Elephas maximus indicus: one gene and its partner. The protein of the gene in region 2 binds, or shares a complex with, the protein of the main gene of each other region. Links are inferred from orthologs where the notes say so. Each region holds a gene or a part of one and is shown on either strand. Other genes may lie near its edges. The genes, in order: BSG and XKR8.

Region 1 (9,490 bases), about 68 Mb from region 2:
TTCATTGTCCAGCTTTCACATGCATATGAGGCAATTGAATATACCATGGCTTGGGTCAGGTGCACCTTAGTCCTTAAAGTAACTTTATAGTGTTTTATAGACCTATCTAATCCATGGCTGAAGGGTGAACTTCAGGAATAACTTCAGTTCTGAGTTAAAAGGATGGCCTGGGGCCATAGTCTCAGGGGTTCCTTTAGCCTCTTTCAGACCAGCAGGTCTGGTCTTTTTTAAGTGTGTGTGAACTAGAATTTTATTCTATATTTTTCTCCTGCTTTCTCCAGGACCCTCTGCTGTGATCCCTGTCGGAGCAGTTGAATAGCCTTTATTTTTTAGAGCAGTTTTAGGTTTACAAAAAAATTGCAAAGAAAGAACAGGCAGTTTCATTACATTGTGCGTGGGGTCACCGTGAGTCGGGCTTGACTCAACTGCAGCTAGCAACAACATGGGTTTTGACAAATGCAGCTGTGATCTGCCCCCATCACCACACCCTGCATCGTTTCTCTGCTGCCCTAAAGATGCCATGTGCTCCACCTATTATTTAAAAAAAAAAAAAAAGAGAGTCCAGGGGTGTCATGCGATTAAGTGCTTGACTATTTGATGATTTTAACCCATACAGAGGAACCTCAGAAGACAGGCCTGGCTATCTGCTTCTGAAAGGTCACAGTCTTGAAAACCCTACGGGGCAGGTCTCCTCTGCACAAATGGGGTCGCCGTGAGATGGAATCGACTGAACGAGGAACAGCAACCTGTCCCGAAGACTGCATGGGGTGTGCTTACGGAAAAAATTCACCCAGGCATCTTGTATTTTCATTTTATTTGCCGTATCTGGGTGGTCAAGGAAATGTCTCTTCTTGGAACCAGAGAGGCATGAACCCTCTTGTCCGAGGGGGCAGTGGTGAGCAGAGCATGGGTCAGGGGGCCGGGGAGTGCCAGGACACCGTGTCTTCAAAGAGATGCAGCTTGACCTTGTACATGAAGACTAAGGCTTCCAGAAGCTGCAGGTGGCCCTCATGTTTCCCAGGAGGCCTGTTTTCCGACATGTGGGATGCCGAGGGGGAATTCAGCAGAAGCTCGCCAGGAGGCTCAGGATATCAGCCAGGCAGGAGGGGTTGTTTACAACCCTGGAAGGGCTTTGAAGCCAGTGGCCCCTGCCTGGGCCTCGTGGTCCTCCCCGATTCTGCACGTAGCTCCCAATCCCCCAGTGGGGCTGGCAGCCTTTCTAAGCCTGGATGGCTGCCAGGGCTGGGGCTCGGCTGCTCTGAGGCCCAGGCCCCTGACCCGCAGCCATCCCTGGCCTGAAGCCCTTGCCAGCTCAGCCCCTTCCTTCATCAGCATGCCCCTCTGTCGCCCAGCACTGCCCGTCCTTCCAGCCTCCCCTCCCTGTCCACCATACTTGGGCTCCATCAGCTCTGAGAAGACCCCTCCCTGGATAACGCTTCCCTCCTGCTCAGGCAGGGGACACTGTGTTCTCAAATGTCACCTCCTTGAAGAAGCTGCTGGACCCTCACCTGAAGCAGGCACTCTCCCCTGGGAACTCACATCACCCTATTTTTGTATTGAGATGTAATTTGCTCACCAGGCTCTTTACCCATTTAAAGTGCACAGCTCAGCGGTTTTTAGGGCATTCACAATGCTGTGCAACCAAAACCTTTGCCTGGTTCCCGAACCTTCTCACCGCCCCAAAAGGGAACCCTGTACCCATTAAAAGTCACTCCCCATCCCTCCTCCCCTGGTCCCTGGAAACTGCTAATCCACTTTCATCTCTATGGATTTGCCTATTCTGGACATTTCATATCAAAATGGAATCAGACAATATGTGGTCTTTTGTGCCTAACTTCTTTCACGGAGTATCATGTTTGTGAGGTCCGTCCACGTTACGGCAGGTATCAGTACTTCTTCCCTCTTTATGGCTGATAATCCGTTGTGTGGACGGACCACGTTGTATTATCTATTCAGCTGCAGATGGACACTTGGGCTGTCCCCTTTCTCCACATTATACGTCTGTATGTATATATATATATTTTTTATATATAGCTCGGAGTGGAATTGCTGGTCACATCAGTTTTACGTTTGAGTTTTTGTGGAGCCACCAAACTGTTTTCCACAGCGGCTACACCATTTTACCTTCCCATGAGCAATGGATGAAGATGCCTGTCTTCCCGCGTCCTTGCCAACACTTGTTATCATCTGTCTGTTTATAATAGCCATCCCAGTGTGGGTGAAGGGGCCCTTGGCGATGACTAATGATGTTAAGCACCTTTTCCTATGCTTATCAGCCTTTTGTACATCTTCTTAGGAAAACTGGCTATTCGGGTCTTTGCTGATTTTGTATTGTTTGTCTTTTTATTATAAGCTTGTAAGAGTCCTTTATAGATCCCAGGTATAAGTCCTTTATCAGACATATGATTTGCAAATACTTTCTCCTATTTGATGGGTTGTCTTTGCACTTTCTTGGTGGTTTCCTTTGAAGCACAGAAGTTTGGATGGGGTCCAACTTATCTACTTTTTCTTTGGTTTCTTGTGCTTCTGGTGTCATGTCTAAGAAACCATTGCCTAATCTAAGTCACAAAGATTTATCCCCATGTTTTCTTAGAAAAAAATTAAAATTTTCTGTTTTTTTTTCTTCTTCTAAGAGTTTTCTAGTTCAGTACTTATATTTAGGTCTTTGATCCCCTGGTGGTATAAACAGTAAATGTGCTTGGCAGCTAACTGAAGGGCTGGAGGTTTGAGTCCATCCAGAGGTGCCTGGAAAGAAAGGCCTGGCAATCTACTTCCAAAAAAAAATCAGTCACTGAAAACCCTATGTGTCCTTATAGTCCCATTTGGGAAGTGCTTTTCTTTGTTACGTTAATGAGGAAGTGTTAGTGTTGGGTGCGTCTTACATCAATCTCTCTTGAGACATAAAAGAGCAGATTAAGGAAGCAAGCTGAGGAGAGAGATGGGGGAAGACAGGTACCAAGTCACAGGAAGATCACGGAGGAACAGAAACTGAAAAGAGGTAAGGACCTTCCTCCAGGGCCAACAGAGAGGGAAAGCCTTCCCCGAGAGCCAAAACCCTGAATTCAGACTTCCAGCCTAAGTGTTAGAAAATAAATTCCTGCTTGTTTAAGCAAAAAAAGAAAGAAAACCCTACAGAGCACATACAGTTTCTACTCTGCCGCACTGGGCTACCGCCATGAGTTGGAATCGACTCAACAGCGATGTTTTTTACATTTGCATTTATCAGCATTTGAAATTACTTTATTGTTCTGTATGTTTCTGTAATGCTTTCCAATCATATTAAGTCTAAGTCACTCCTATCCTTGCATATATACATATATGTATGTACTCATAATATGAATTTAGAAATAGAAATATGTCTGCCTTTGTAGGCCTCTCTAACCATTAACTGTAAATCATTAGAAAGTGATTTAGAAATTCCTAACTGACAAATAGAAGCAAGTGAAGTGGGTGAAGAGCGTGAATAACCATAAAGTTGACTTAAACCTGGCATGCTGCGACGAAAGCAAACAGCATAGCAAGCTTCAGAAACTAGTCTTGAGATATAAATCTAAACAACTTCCTCATCTCTAACCCTGAAGAAAAGACGAGACATTCGGCTAACCTCTAACTCTGCAGAGAAGACGTTACCAACTAGTCTTTGATGTCACAGTGGGCCCATCCTGTGAGGCCAAGACGAGGCATCTGTATGTAAACCCTGAACTTCCGCCCACCCGCTGAGAAGGCAGAGATGGGAGCTCCTCGCTGCTGCCAACCTCGCGCCCAGCTGTGAGGGACCCCACCCGTGGTCGAGCCTTCCTCCCGAGACCACTCCTCAGAGAAAACGCCTGGAGTCTCTCAACACGGAGCTCTCACCACGGAGCTCTCACCACGGGGCTCCCACCACGGGGCTCCCACCACGGGCTCCCACCACGGGGCTCCCACCACGGGGCTCCCACCACGGGGCTGTCACCACGGGGCTCTCACCACGGAGCTCTCACCACGGGCTCTCACCACGGGCTCTCACCACGGGGCTCTCACCACGGAGCACTCACCACGGAGCTCCCACCACGGGGCTCCCACCACGGGGCTCCCACCACGGGCTCTCACCACGGGGCTCCCACCACGGGCTCTCACCACGGGCTCTCACCACGGGGCTCCCACCACGGGGCTCCCACCACGGGGCTCCCACCACGGGCTCTCACCACGGAGCTCCCACCACGGGCTCTCACCACGGGGCTCCCACCACGGGGCTCCCACCACGGGGCTCCCACCACGGGCTCTCACCACGGAGCTCCCACCACGGGCTCTCACCACGGGGCTCCCACCACGGGCTCTCACCACGGAGCTCCCACCACGGGGCTCCCACCACGGGGCTCCCACCACGGGGCTCCCACCACGGGCTCTCACCACGGAGCTCCCACCACGGGCTCTCACCACGGGGCTCCCACCACGGGCTCTCACCACGGGCTCTCACCACGGGCTCTCACCACGGGGCTCTCACCACGGGGCTCTCACCACGGAGCTCTCACCACGGAGATAACGGTGGCTGTTGCCTGATTCTCTGGCTCTACGGGCGGGGGCCTTGTTGCGTGCTTTGTTTGGCAGGACCCCCCTGCGGTAAACGAAACGAGTTTATGCGAGTCAAATCCGAGTGTTGATTAATTTCTGAGGCGAACACCCCACACGGCATTCATCGTTCGCGTCAGTGTGTGTAGTAAAAACACAGGCCCCAGGGCAGAGTTGCCAGACAAAATGGAGGTCGACCAGTGAAGCTGCAATTTCAGAGAAACACAAATAGGTTTTTTTTTTTTTTTAAATAACTATGTCCAAATATTGCACGGGACACTTAAACACTACAAAATTATTTGTTCTCTATCTGAAATTTAACTGCTGTCCGGTATTTTTATTTGCTAAGCTGGTAGCATCAAGCCAGGGGTTCGCATCCCACCTGGTCACAGCTGGCACCCTGTAGCCTCACTAAGAGCTTTTCCAAAGACTCGCTGCCGGAAGGACGAACGGACGCGGCCCACAGACTCTCCGAGAAGCCAGGGCGGGAAACGGCCTCCCAGCCGGGTCCTCGCCGGCCCCGCCCGCGTTTCCTAGCAACGCCGGGGCCGGGGGCCAGGAGGCCAGGAGGCGTGGCTCGCCGCGGACACGTGCCTGGTGCCGCCGCCCGGATGCCCTTAGCGCTAACCGGTCTGAGTCAGCGCGTGCGTACGTGCGCCCCCGCGCGTGCGCAAACGGACCGGCCGGCGTGCCCTGCGTGCGCGCGCCCCGGACGCCGCCCTGCGCGCGCGCGCCCGCGGCCTCTGCCGGTTCTTATTGCGGCCGCGGGCGGCGGCGGCGACGGGTGGCGGCAGTTGGCTGCGGCGGCGGAGGACGGACGAGGCGACATGGCGGCCGTGCTGCTCGTGGTGCTGGTGGCCGCGCTCCTGGGCGTCGAGGGCGCCTCCGGGGCGGGTGAGGACCGGGCCGGGGTCGCGACGCCCGAAGGGGGCCCGGCATGGAGGCCGCGGGTGCGGGGCGCCGGTGCGGGGCGCGGGGCGCCGGTGCGGGGTCCGGGGCGCCGGTGCGGGTGCGGGGCGCCGGTGCGGGGTGCGGGGCGCCGGTGCGGGGTGCGGGGTCTGGGGCGCCGGTGCGGGGTGCGGGGCGCCGGTGCGGGGTGCGGGGTCTGGGGCGCCGGTGCGGGGTGCGGGGCGTCGGTGCGGATGCGGGGCGTCGGTGCGGGTGCGGGGCGCCGGTGCGGGGTCCGGGGCGTCGGTGCGGGTCCGGGGCGCCGGGGGCGGCCGGGCGGAGTGGCGGTGAGGCCGCGCGCTGGGGGCTCCCGGGGAGCTCCGGACAGGCCTGGCTGAAGCCCGCGGCCGGGGCTCGCGGCGGGTGGGCTTCTCATCGGGACCTGGGAGCGAAGCCCCCGAGCTTGGGGGGAGCACCTGGGGCGCCTGGCCCGGGGCGGTGCTGGAGGTGCAGTCCCCAAGCTGCCGTTCGGGCCCCCGGGCTGGAGCCTCCGGGAGGGGACTGGCCCTGGATGAGGGCATATGGGGTGGGCTCCAGAGGTGGGCCGCCTGCCGCCGCTTCCAGCAGGAGCGTCTGGACCAGAGGGAGGGAGACCGGGGCCTGGGTCCTTGAGCGTCCTCCCCTTTGGGCCAGAACTGCGGGGTCGGAGTCTGGGCCTGGCCTCGGTCTCGTCTCATTCGTCCCGGGAGCCCCTTGGAGCCTGCAGGGCCTGGAGTGCGACCTGAGACTGGATCTCGGTGTCACCCCCTGCCTGGGGCCTGTGTTAGGGTAGGGGTGCAGCAGAAAGACCCACCTCCCCTGAACTCGGATCCATGGCTGTGGTCCCAGTATGTCCTGGGCAGCTTGGGCTTTCTCTTCTGGAAAATGGGCTCCTGTCATTCTCACACTGACGCGAATACAGGTGCATGTGAAATGGCTCAAAAATGGGTCAGCTTCCTGGGTGGGGGGATTATCATTCCCGATGGGATTTGGGCCTCAGCCTTGCTGTGGTGTGCACTGTCCCCTGTGCCACCTGGGGCCTGCTGCTGGGCCTCACCAGACCTTGGGCTCTAGTCCGCACCTGCTCCTACAGCTGGGGAAACTGAGGCCCAGGAGGGAGGGAAGATACTCCAAGGTCATGACGAGGTTGCCTTGGCCCCAAAGTTCAGGGTAGGAAATGTCCAGAGTAGTTTTTTAAAGATTCAGTGGTGGTGGATTTCCAGTGCAGTTTGCTGAAGTGGGAAGAATGGTCTGAGGGGAAACACAAGAAGGGCTCTCTTGCTTCATAGGGTTGTTCCTTTCCTGTATCTGGACTACACGTTTGGTTTTGGGTTAAAGATTTACGGTGTCCACACGCACATAGGGGACAGAGTGCAGACGTGAGGGCTGGAATCCGTGCTTGGGAGAGGTGGGGGCATCATTCTGGCAGTGGGCACAGTGGGTGGGAGCTCCTGACCAACTTCAAGACTGTTTGGTCTTCGCTTTTCTAATCACACAGCTGTTAACTGAGATGCTGAGACACAGATATGCCAGGGGGCGGCAGATAGGCTGTTGCTGGCAGGGGACCTTTAGAAGCCACCTGGTGTTGGGGACGCATCCTTATCTGGGTTCAAGCTCAACACACGTCTCACCTCGAACTAATGCTGAGCGCCACACTCTCTCCCGGGCAGGCGGTGGTCTGAGCTGAGCAGGAGTAGGGTGGAGTTGCCGGGCAGACTTGGTTCGTTTTCCTTTCTCATGCTGACAGCCCTGCTCTTCTCTCCCACTGGGGAAATCTGGGGCCGGGGGACCCACAGATGGCAGACAGTGCCCCGCAGCCCTGCTGTCTGCTCCACCCGGGCGGGGCGCCTCCCCTGCAGGCCTGGGCAGCTTGTTTACCTCCAGGCCCGTGGCTGGCCCCCAGCCCAGAGGGAAGCAGGAGGGAGTGGCTGTTTTTAGATGAAGGTGACTTTACTTGAGATCACAGGCTGCAGATCACGTGGCCAGCATCAGCTTTGACTTTTCTAGGAGCGGGGGGTCAGGGCTTCCTGAGGTCTTGAGTGCTCTTGGGGGCCTCCTGTGAACCCTGGGGGCCAGGCGGGATCCAATCCTAAACCTCCTGCAGAAGTGGGGGAGGCTTTTCTGCTTTTTTCAGTTCTTGCCCAGTAAGGGGCCTTTTGAGACATTTTTTACTAATTGTCCCACACTGAAAATTAACATCATGTGTGATCCTCACTGCCTCTTGAGAGTGGCCTTGACACTAGGGGTTTTTATCCCCCAGAGCCTACTTCTGCCCCTTGGGGACAACATCCACCTTGTTCGGAGCAGCCCCAGATCTCTAGGATGTGGCCCATGGATGCTGCCCCGCTGGTGCTGATAGATGGGGGTGGGGGTAGTCCACACTCACCCCTTCACAAACGCAGAGGGAACAGACTCTCCCCCCCCCCCCCGCCCCCCCCCCAGGCCTCTTTTCTAGCAGCTCTGGGTGGTGAGAACAGCTGTAAAGGTAGAGAAGCCCGCGGGGAGCGGGGGGACCTTAGACTCCACTTCCTGCCCTGTTCCAGCCCTGCCCTGCCCTGTACTCAGCTGCTGGTTTCGCAACTGGGGAGGCCTGATTCTCTCTGAGAAGCTCAGGAGACCAGAGGTGGCTCTCTGCCGAGGACAGTCGCCTTGCCTGCCTTGGGCTGCCTCGTGGGGGACCACTTGGCTCTTCTCACCACTGCCTTGGAACTGGGGCTGTGTGTGTGCATACGTGTGTGTGTCCCTCAGCAGTATTCAGGGACTGCACGACACATTCGTGGTGGGGGCCTGTGGGGGAGGAAGACACACCTGTGTGAGGACCTGTCCCTCTGCCCAAAGCAGACAGCACCTCCGGGAGCTGTGTCAGGATGCTTCTGCTGGGCTTCGCGCTTCACCTGCATCAGCTGGGGATTTTGAGATGTTCTATCCTCTGTTTTTGTTTAAAGGAGGCACCTGCAAGTGACCAGAGGTGGGGCGGAGGGTCTGGCCTGGCTGCCCCATCAATGGCCAGGTGACTCCCTGGGTAGGGCCAGTCCGCCGTGACCTGTGGGGGTGGGAGCCAACATCACAGCCATGGAGTACTCTAGAAAGCAGCCCAGCTGTGATGTCTTCCGGCAGAAAGACTTCTGTCTTTCTGGGTTGTGGGGTGTGAGCTTCAGCCCACTTCTCCGTGGGTAACCCTGCCCTGCAGGGGGTCTTTTCTGTTTTGTCAGGATGTGTTTCTCCTGGAGGGATGGGGTGTGAGCCAGAGCGCTGCCTTGGGGGGGTAGTAGCTTCAGTGCTTCCTGGTGGCCAATCATCTGGGGCTGCAGCTCAGGCCCCCTCGTGGCTCCGCGCAACCCCCAAGTGTGTGTGTGTGGCTCTCCCGCTGGAGGTCACTGTGCCCTCTGGGGGCCTCGGGTCCTTCAGGGTCATACGGTCCTGGTGGGTGCTCCTCTAGACCTGGTGTCTGGTGCCCAGCCTCTGAACGGCTCCTCTTGCCACCTGGTGCGCTCAGTAGGGTGATGCGGAATCTACTAACTTGCTTTTTTTCTCCATCGGCTCCCCTTGCACTAACGCTGGTGCCTACCCCGCCTGCTGCACAGCTGGCTTCCTGTGGTCACCGCTGTCCCAGGAGCGCGGGCCAGGGGACCACGTGGAGCTGCACTGTGAGGCTGTGGGCAACCCTGTCCCTGAGATCCAGTGGTGGTTCCAGGGGCCTGCACCCGACACGCCCTGCGCCCAGCTCTGGGATGGCGCCCGGCAGGACCGTGTCCACATCCACACCACCTACCGCCAGCATGCGGCCAGCACCCTGTCCATTGCCGGCCTTACTGTGGACGATGTAGGCACTTATGAGTGCCGGGCCAGCAACGACCCTGACCGTAACCACCTGACCCGGGCACCCCGCATCCGCTGGGTCCACGCCCAGGCCAGCGTGCTGTTCCGCGAACGTGAGTGGCGGCACACAGACCCTGGCCCGTCCCAGCCGCCTGGCCCTTCTCTCCAAGTCCCTCTGAGTCCCTTAGCCTGTACC
Region 2 (9,724 bases):
GGAAATCCCCCCGGGGAGACAACCCTCCCAGCTCTGGCTAAGGCTACACTTAGGGCAGGAGGGATGTCCTGCCGTGAACAGGGAACATCCCCTCGCTCCTCCCCTCCACATTCAGACTGGCCCCTTTTCTTGATTTTCCAAGATCCTATCCCATCTCCTGGTTCCCTATTCTGGGCTAGGGGCACCAGGACCTCCAGGGATAGAAGCAGCTCTAGAATGTTTCTAGAATGCTTCCTCCCCTGCCCCCTTCACAGATATTTACTGGGCACCTATAATGTTCCAGGAACCCACTCCCAGCCTAGAACCAGATCTGCAGCCGTCATCCTTTCTAACTATTCCACATTCTACTTCTCAGCAGGGCCCACTATGCCAAATTCTAAGACCTTGACAAGCCTTTGCCATCATGTTAGGTGGGGCAGGAGCACATGCCCCACCTCACTTGGCCTACTCCCACTTGCTCTCCAAGTTCCAGTTTGAATATCCCCTAGAGTCACCCATCCTGACCCAAGTCACCCATCCTGACCCCACTCACCCACTTCAGCTGTGTCTGCGTCCCTGTAACACCCCACCCACTTCTGCCTGGAGCCTTAAAAAAAAAAAAAAAAAAGCCTGGAGCCTTATCACACAGTAATTACCTACTATTTCCTTATCCCTCAGCTTCTCCAGGGTAGGAAACAGGGCCTGCTCACCTGGGATCCCCATGGCTGACCACAGTACCTAGCTACTAAAAATACGTCTTCTTCCACCCCCAAACCCCACCATACACACACAGTGTAGAATGTCTCCACTTGACCATGGTCCTAGACATCCACCTCCCTCAAATGGATAAAAACTATATATCCAGTGAGTGCTGTGTGACCCAGGGCCAGTCACTTCACCTTTCTGCACCTCTTACCTTTGGTGTAAAATGGAGATAAATAAATACAGCACTGACCTAAGGGCTGCTGGGAACACGAACAGTGTTAGACTGCAAAGGACTTTGCAAAGTGCCTGGCTAATAGCAGGAAACTCAATCATGAAGACTGCTGTTATCAGATTTAAAATTATCACAGATCTGGACTAGCAGAAGCTGGAAGGGCCCTCGAAGATCGAGTTCGACCCTCATCTTGTACAGTCGTGGAAACTAAGGCCAGGCTCCCTGGGTCACACAGCGAGTGACGGCGGGGGGAATGGGTTTGGGGGACTGTAAATGCCGCAGCATTTACAGCAGGGACCCTCGAAGTGTCCAGTGGTGAAGGGGGAGCCGAGGGCCCTGAATCAGAGATGAGTTGGAGTCCTAGCTTAGCCACTGTGACCTTGCTTGGGCAAGTCACTTCCCTTTTACAGGCAAAATTCATTTGAAAGCTCCTTACTGGACAAATTTCTCCCCACGGTTTCTGAGGCCCTGCCAGCCTCTGTCACCTGCCTCTCCCCTTCAGATCACTGGACATACTTTTCTGTAATTATTATTTTATATTCTGTCATCCTGGCAGGGCAGGGGCTGTGTCTGTCTTATTCACCACTGTGCCCCAGTACACTGACTGGCACAGAACAGGTGCTGAATAAAAACTTGAGTATGTGAAGGTGCACAATAAAAGCTTAATGACTAACAAGTTGCCTAGTCTGTGTCAGGTACCCCATACACTTTATCTCTGCTATCTTCAAAACAGTGAGAATTACAATGCAGGTTTATGATGCGCCAAGCACTTTGCTTTATGTGCATCATCTCTTAATCCTTTCATCAACACTATGAGGTAGAAGCACTGACTGTGTCCATTTTACAGATGAGAACAAACTGACCCTCAGAAAGGCTGGGTCATTTGCCCAAAGTCATACAGCTAGAGAGTGACTTTGGATTTGAACCCATGGCTGCCTGACTAAAGCATTTCTCCTCTTTTCCAAGCAACCTTTTTAAAAAAGAGCAAATATTCGTGACACTAGAGGGAAACCTTCCCAACCCACAGGGGGGCTGGCTGCTGGTGCATCACTCACACTGGTAGTGCTCAGCCTGCCCGCTCTGCAGTACAATGGCCAGAACCAGCGTCAGCTGAGGCGTTGTCTCCAAGAAGGTCTCAAAGAGCCGCAGCATGGTGATGTCCAGGGAGAGGAAGTCGGCGTAGGCCAGTTCAAACTCTGAGGGTGCCTCCTGCCGCCACGCCAACAGCCCCTGCTGCAGCCCCTTCACACACCTAGGCAGCACATAAGATGCCCAAGGGGCCAGGTTAGTGTCTGGTGGTGTTCCTCTTTCCCCTACCATCTGGTGGATGCAGGCAGGCTCCGATCCCAGCTCTGTCACTTACACCTTGTGGGCCTTGGGCAAGCAAGTTAACCTCATTGAGTTTTGTTTCCTTATCTGTAAAATGGGGATACATGCAACTACTGCTGCTCCTACTGGCCAGGCACTGTCCCAAGCGCATGACAAAACCTTGTCCCATTTACTCCTTGCAACACCCCCATTTTATAGAGGGGGAAACAGGATCAAAAAGCTAATAAGTAGCGCGATTAGGATTTGAACCCAAGACTGTTTGAATTCATAAGACGGTAGTTCTCAAATTTTAGCAGGCATAAGAATCTTTTGGAATCCTGCAGGCAACAGGAAGCCATTGAGAACTTCTTAGCACAGGCACACCCAGGTCAGACAGTACTCTAAAAAAGCACCCTACCTATGGAGGGGGGCAAGGATTGGACTGGAAGCAGAGATCCCCTTTATGCAAAACCATGAAAAGAATGAATAGATTTTCATTCAGTCTGCAGTAGGAGCCCAGAAATCTGCATTTTAAATAGGCATCCCCAGGTGATTCGAAAGCAAGGGGTGAACAAAACATACTTTGTGAAGAGGAGCCCAAGGAGCAAGGCCTTTTATCCTGTGGGCAACAGGGAGCCACTGAGAGCTTCTGCGCATAGGCAGCGAAGCTCAGCAGTCTGTCTGACTCGTGCTTGGCAGAAACAGAAGAAGGGAAGGTGTTCGATGTTGTCATGCCTGCCCAGGACTATAATAACTGTGCCCCTTCCCACCCATCTGGGGTTTTATTGAGGCCTCTATGGTCCCTAGGGCAAAACGCAGTCAAAGTTCCTCTAACCCACTCCTGGAGACTGCAGCTTTGTCAAGGCAGGATCTGGAGAGAATCTGCAAAAATGGATTCAAAAGGGGATCCTGGCTCCAGCCACACCATCCCACCCAGGCCACACCGTGTCCTGACCTCATCCTATGACTCTGACACCTTGCTTTCGGTTTCCCACCTCTATAGAGCCCCGCCGGTTCTAAAAAGAAGCACAATCCACACACATGCTCTGAGACCCAGCCCAGTCCCAGCTGGCTCATGGGACACAGATGAGTCAGACACCATCTCTGCCCTCGTGTTCAGTCTGGGGGCGGTGGGGAGCAAAAGTTCAAGGAAGAGAATATAACTGGGAAAGAAAGGGTGCAAGCCAGGCAGCTGTGAGGGCACAGCACTGCTCTGGGGTCAGGACAGCTGAAACTCCCGGGGTGGCCCAGGTAATCTGATGCTAGCTGACATTTACTGGATGCTTACTCTGTGCCAGGGAAATTCATACATTTTATTTAATGCTCACAAAGCTCAGAGGTAGGCACTGTTACCATGCCCATTCGAACAATGAGTAAAAAACCCTGAAGAGGTCAAGCGACTTGCCCAACACTGTGCTCACAGCTAGAAGGAACAGCCAGGCTTTGAACTGAGGCTGCAGGTCTTTGCCATTACAGTGGAGTTGACTTCATGCCAAGCACTGTGCTAGGCACTTTCCAACTCTTTCACACGTCACAGTAGGCCGGCCTGGCAGAGCTATCTCTAGACTACCTCTTCTTTTTTACAGAGGAGGAAACTGAGGCTCAGAGTGACGCAGGAATGAGGTCACAGGTGGCAAAATTAGATCCCAGAAAGCTGACTCCAAAGCCCGTGCTCCTCCCTTTCCTCCCTGGGCCTCAGTTTCTTCGCCTGTACAAGGGTGGGTAGACTAGAAGAGCTCTAAGGGCTTTCAGCAGTTCTCTTCCCTTAAGGGGCGGGGCATTCACCTGTGGGGCTGTTTCCTGTCTCCAGTCCCGGTTCCCTCCTCCCCTCACTTTCCACACTCCCCTCCCCCCCACCCCCAACCCCCGTGTCAGGACTCTCACCAACACTAGTAGCCCAAATTCAGGAGGCGCCCCCTAGGCTCGGTATCCTTCCCGTTTCCCGAGGGCGGGGCGCTCACCTGTACAGGTAGCCCAGCTGCAGGAGATGTAGCAGCGCCAGACAGCGGCCGGAGGGCTGCGACTTGTGCAGGTCGGCGGGGTCGGCGCGCAGCCAGACCCAGCTGAAGAACTGCAGCGCGACCGAGGCGAGGAGCAGCAGCGCCAGCACCAGCGCTGCCCACAGGTAGCAGCCGCTGAGCACGTACTGGACGAAGGCCCACAGATCCGCGCCCAGGTCGAGCAGGAAGACGGCAGTGCCCAGTACGCCCAGGACCAGGTCCCGAAGGAGGGCGGCGTGGGGCGACGAGGGCATGGCCCGCCTGCCTCTCCCCCCAACCCCTCCTTCTCTGCGGCTCCGGCCTACCCTTGGGGTCCGGGATTTTCAACTCAGGAAGGAGACAAGCACAGCCCTCGGGGCGGCCCTGGGCCGGGGCCTGCTGGGCGGGACTTCCCCGCCCCGCCTCGTCCGGGGAGGAGCGAGGCCCTTGGACCCTGCCCGGGCCTGCCCCACGTCAGGCTTGGTCTCCCGCGGCCCTGGATGCCGCTCGGGGCTCTGGCTCTGCCACCCGTCCCCCACCCCCGCCCAAATGGGTGCATCCCAAGGGCCGGTAGGCCTGAAAACCGACCGTCCGAGGCGCACAGCGCTTAGTTCAGCAGGCTTCCCAGCGATTTTATTTTATGTTTGAGGCGCCTAGAGGGCCAAGACAAGGAGCCCCGGTGGCGCAACGGTTAAGCGCTTGGCTGCTAACCGAAAAGCCAGCGATTCAACCCGCCCAGAGGCTCCACGAGAGAAAGACCTGGCGGTCTGTACCCTAAAGATTACAGCCTAGAAAACCCTATGGAGCAGTTCTGCTCTGTCCCACGGGATCGCTATGAGTCAGAATCGACTGGATGGCACCTAACGACAGAGGCCCAAGATGGCGGGAAGGGCTAGGAGATTAGAGCCCGGGCTCTACTCATGATCCCTCGCATCGGCTCGGTTGCAAAAAGCAAAACAAAAAGGCACGTTCTGATCCCTAAGTGGTGAACGTTGCAAATTAAGCGTGCCCAGAGTTCGGGCAGCGAGTTACACAAAGGGCACCGGATCACCAGGGCGCATCTTCCTGGGCTACTCATTTTACTTCCATCACTGTGGAGAGAGAGGGAGAAACGTTCACTGTGAGTTCAAAACTACTCACATATTAAAGGAGAAACCGCACAGAATAACATGCACGATGCACATTGTTTTTTAATAAGACATGAAACTTGAAGGAAACGTGGTGGGGGGGGGGCTGGTGCTTCATCTCCGGATCCGGCTGCCCCCTACTAATTCACTCTCTAGGGGCGCAGGAGAAATGATGGAAAAGTCCGGGTCTCCAAAGGGTGATGTTCCCCAGGTTTTACAAGGAGGAAGGTGAGCTGCCCAGGGGACAGCGTGTGGCGCCAAGGTCACCGCACGAGCAGGGTGCACAGGCCCAGCAGCGCCGCCAACGGCAGCGCGAGCTTGGGCGCCGGTGAGGCGCCAGAGTTGCGCAGGCAAGCAGTGTACGCGTCGAAGTCCACCTCACGCGCGGCGCACACGTGCTCAACGCGGCAGGCCTCCTCGCAGTCCGGGCTGCCGTAGCCAACAGAGTTGTAGATGTAGTAACGCTGCAGTGCTCCCTGGTCGCGGGCGATGTGGCCTAGCGCCACGTGCATAGACGCGGGGCCCGCATCCGGCACCCCATAGGCCTCGGTCAGCTTGTACTCGAGCTCCCAGCTTGGTGTTTCCTGCGCGTTCGCCTGGCTCAGGTTCATGAAGTAGGTAACTGTGTCCTGGAATGGGGAGGCGGTGCAAGGCCTGCCTTTAACAGCTGCCAGGTTCCACTCCCATCCTACACCTTGCATTTGCCCCCAGCTTCTTTACAGCCAAAATAACCACCATTAGTTATTGAGCATTTATTGGTAAGGTCTCTGGGTGGCGCACACTGTTTGCCCTTGACTTCTAAAGGTTGTCAGTGTGAACCCACCCGCAGCACCAAAGAAGAAAGACCTGGTGATCTGCTTCAGTAAAAATTACAACCAAGAAAACCCTGTGGAGCAGTTCTACTCTGAGGTCTCTGTGAGTTGGAATCAACTAGAAGGCACCGGTTTTTTGGTTTTTCTTTTTTTTAAGTATGTTTGGCAGACATTCTTAGATTGGATCTGATAAGATAACTGCACTTATTATCTCCATTTCGCAGATGAGGAAGCTGAGGCCTAAAGAGGTTGGTTCACTTGGCCAGGATCCTACCGGGATTGGAACCCAGGTCATTTACCCCACACTCTGTGCATTTTCTGTCACACCAAGCTCCTGGCACATAAAAGATGCTTAGTAAATATTTGCAGAATGAATGGATAAAAAGCAACATAAACAGTGGGATTAACCACAGGCCAAGTAGAACTTGGTGGGAACTGAGATACACTCCAGACCCCTGGGACTCCTGTGCATCCTCAGGACTAGAATCTGGAAGAGTTTCTGTTATGGATTGAATCATGTCCCCCCAAAAACGTATATATCAACTTGGTTAGGCCATGATTGCCAGTGTTGTGTGGTTGTGCTCCATTTTGTGATTATAATTTTATGTTGAAAAGGATTAGGGTGGGATTTGTAATACCACCCTTACCTAGGTCATATCCCTGATCCAATGTAAAGGGAGTTTCCCTGGGGTATGGCCTGTACCACCTTTTATAAGAGATAAAAGGAAAGGGAGGCAAGCAGAGAGTTGGGGACCTCATACAACCAAGAAAGCAGCACCAGGAGCAGAGCGTGACTTTTGGACACCGCGTCCCTGTGCTTGAGAAGCTCCTCAGGGGAAGATTGAGGACAAGGACCTTCTTCCAGAACTGACAGAGAGAAAAAGCCTTCCCCTGGAGCCAGTGCCCTGAATTTGGACTTGTAACCTGCTAGATTGTGAGAGAATAAATTTCTCTTTGTTAAAACCATCCACTTGTGGTATTTCTGTTTTGGCAGCACTAGATGACTAAGACAGTTTCTCTGTCCAACACTTTCGGGTTAAATTTGTATGTATACCTGCTTCAGGTCACTGGAGATAGAGTACACGGAACTGCTATATATGAACAGCAACTGCATGCCAGACACATTACATATGTTATTTCATTTAAAAACAAACAGTTGAGGTCGATTCAGACTCTGTGTTTCAGAGTAGAACTGTGCTCCATAGGGATTTTAATGGCTGATTTTTCCGAAGTAGATCGCCAGCCCTTTCTTTGAGGCGGTTCTGGGTGGACTCAAACTGCCAGTCCTTCTGTTAGCATCCAAGTACCTTAGCCGTTCAGTCCTCTCAAAACCCTGTGAGAGTATTGTCATTCCTGTTTCACAGATGAAGCAACTGGGGCACAGAGAGATCAAAAAGTCTATGTCTGGTTAAGCCAGGATTAAAACCCAGGTCTATCTGAGAAGGATGCAGGGCATGTTACAGGCTGGGTGGGGATTCTTGAGACTGTGCTCAGATTCTATGAGTGCCTGTGTGAGCGGCAGACCATACTCTTAAAAATCCTCAGACCTCTTCTTTATCTACATTTCCTCCTCAGAATCAAGGACCTTGGTTATCTCATCCAGTCTCTGGCTTTAAATGTCCTCTAGATGCTCTTAGCTCTCATATCAAATCTCTGTATGTTGCTCTTCCTGAAACTCCAACTCAGACATCCAGTTGCCGCCTCCCTTGGCATTTTCTTGTATGCCATTTAGCCATCTCATAGTTAACAGGCCCAAAGCTGAAAATTCTGGCTCCTCCCACAGTCACTCCATCTCAGCAAAGGGCAACCTCATCCTTCAGTTGCTCAGGCTGAAAACTTTGGAGTCCTTCATGACTCCTCTTTCTCTCATATCCAATCCACCAGCAAATCCTGTCTGCTTTGCCTTCGTAATACACCCAGAATCCGACACTTCTTACCTCTCGCACTACAGCCCTGGGCCTAGCCCCCATCTCTCAGCTGGTTATATAGTCCCTAACTGTTTCCCCTGCCTCTGCCTTTGCCCCTATACAGCAGACATGGTGATTTTGTGAAATTAAGTTCAGAATATTTCATTCTTCTGCCCTAAACCCTCCCAATCCAGAGTCTTCATCACGGCCTATGTGATCTGACCTCGTTCCCACCTAGTCTCCCCTCCACCTTCCACTCCAACCACACTGGCCTCCTTGCTCTTCTTGTTTATCCCACAGCCTGGGCATTTTCTATCATGCTAAGCCCCCTGGCATATAAATATTTGCAGAACGAATGGATAAAAAGCAACATAAAAAGAGTGTGTCTTTAGCCCCACTGCAATGGTGCAAGCGCCTCCTGCAAAATGGTGCCAAGTACCCAGGTTTCTTTTAAACATGCGAAGCGCGTTCCCACCAAGAGGCCTTTGACTTGCTGTCACTCTCCTTCCCCAGGTGCCTACGTGGCTTGCTCCCTCACATCACTCAGAACTCTGCTGAAATGCCACTCTATTTGTGACATTTACCCTGCCGACTTGTGTAACATAGCACACACACAGCCTGCCCATCACCACCCTGTCTCTCCACCCTGCTTCGTTTTCCTCCTTAGAACTTCTCTCTGTGGCATACTTCATTTCACTTAGTTCTTGTCTGTTGCTTCCTGTAAGAATGTCAGCTCCAGGAGAACAGTGACTTGGTCTGTTTTTGTTCACTTGAGTATCCCCTGAGCTTAGAGCAGGGTCTAGCACATGGCAGATGCTTAATACGTTTGTTGAATAAATGAGAGAATAATGCTTCTTTGTGATTTCCACAAACACAAGCACATCCTAGGAGGTGAAGGAGCGCTTGATGAGTTGGGGGCCTGCTTTGGCTTGAGCCCAGCTTGAGTCAGTGTAGGGAAAAGGTGGGCATGGGCTGGAGGTCAGAGTGTAGGAGGCCTTGAGTACCAGGCCAAGGAGATCCAACTTTATATTGCAGGCACTGAGGAGCCACTGAAAGTTTCTGAGCAGGAGAGAAACAGGATGAAAGCAGTGCTTTAGAAAGACGAATCCCTTCTGTAGTGCATAGCGGATGGGCTACAGTGGGGCAGCACTGGAGGCAGGGAGACCAGGTAGGAGGCTGTGGCAATGATCCAGGGGCAAAGGGAGTTTGGGAAAAGAAGAATTGACCTGACTCAGTGACAGGATTTGGAGGTGGCTTCAGGGTTCTGAATCTGAGCTCTAGAAGGGCAGAAGTAACTTAACCTTTCTAAGGTTCATTGGTCAATAGTGGGTGGATTGGGTGGGAAGGAGAGTTAGGGGAGGTTATGATGTGTCTAGGTCCCTGTCCACCCTACCCCTGTCTTCCCAGCAGACCCAGGGCTCCTGACCTTCAGGCTCAGTGTGGCTTGGTCGTATTCAATCACCCGGATGCCTGGATTGTTGGCCCCGTTGACCACTCCAGGTAACGTGGTTTTCCAGGGCGTGACTCCAGGCGTGAGGAACATGACACTGATGGGGACACCTTTCAGGCGAGAGACAGCAGAACTGAGAGAGGCTGGTGAGAGAAGGCGGGAAGTGAGCTGGCAGCCGCCCTCCGGGTTGAGTACCTGTGTCATCATAGAACATCCGGAAGCTGT

The links.
Region 1: the proteins of XKR8 (region 2) and BSG are in contact, whole or in part, in a cryo-EM structure (PDB 7DCE), measured with the Homo sapiens proteins. The link is inferred for Elephas maximus indicus from reciprocal best matches to the Homo sapiens genes XKR8 and BSG. Residues at the interface, in NP_060523.2 of Homo sapiens: His232, Leu236, Val239, Leu242, Trp243, Leu246, Gln247, Arg280, Gly283, Arg284, Ile287, Phe291, Ser294, Asp295, Leu298, Ala301, Thr302; in NP_001719.2 of Homo sapiens: Trp326, Pro327, Gly330, Ile331, Glu334, Val335, Leu338, Val339, Ile341, Ile342, Phe343, Tyr345, Glu346, Lys350.

Annotation. Positions count from the first base shown.
Region 1 is NC_064821.1:307,664-317,153, forward strand, and holds the start of BSG (basigin), read left to right. Parts: upstream 1-5,278; 5' UTR 5,279-5,375; coding exon 5,376-5,442; intron 5,443-9,490.
Region 2 is NC_064821.1:68,370,727-68,380,450, reverse strand, and holds the start of XKR8 (XK-related protein 8), read right to left. Parts: upstream 4,645-9,724; 5' UTR 4,479-4,644; coding exon 4,186-4,478; intron 2,169-4,185; coding exon 1,972-2,168; intron 1-1,971. Other genes in the region: SMPDL3B (acid sphingomyelinase-like phosphodiesterase 3b), read right to left, coding at 5,594-5,959, 9,476-9,609, 9,695-9,724.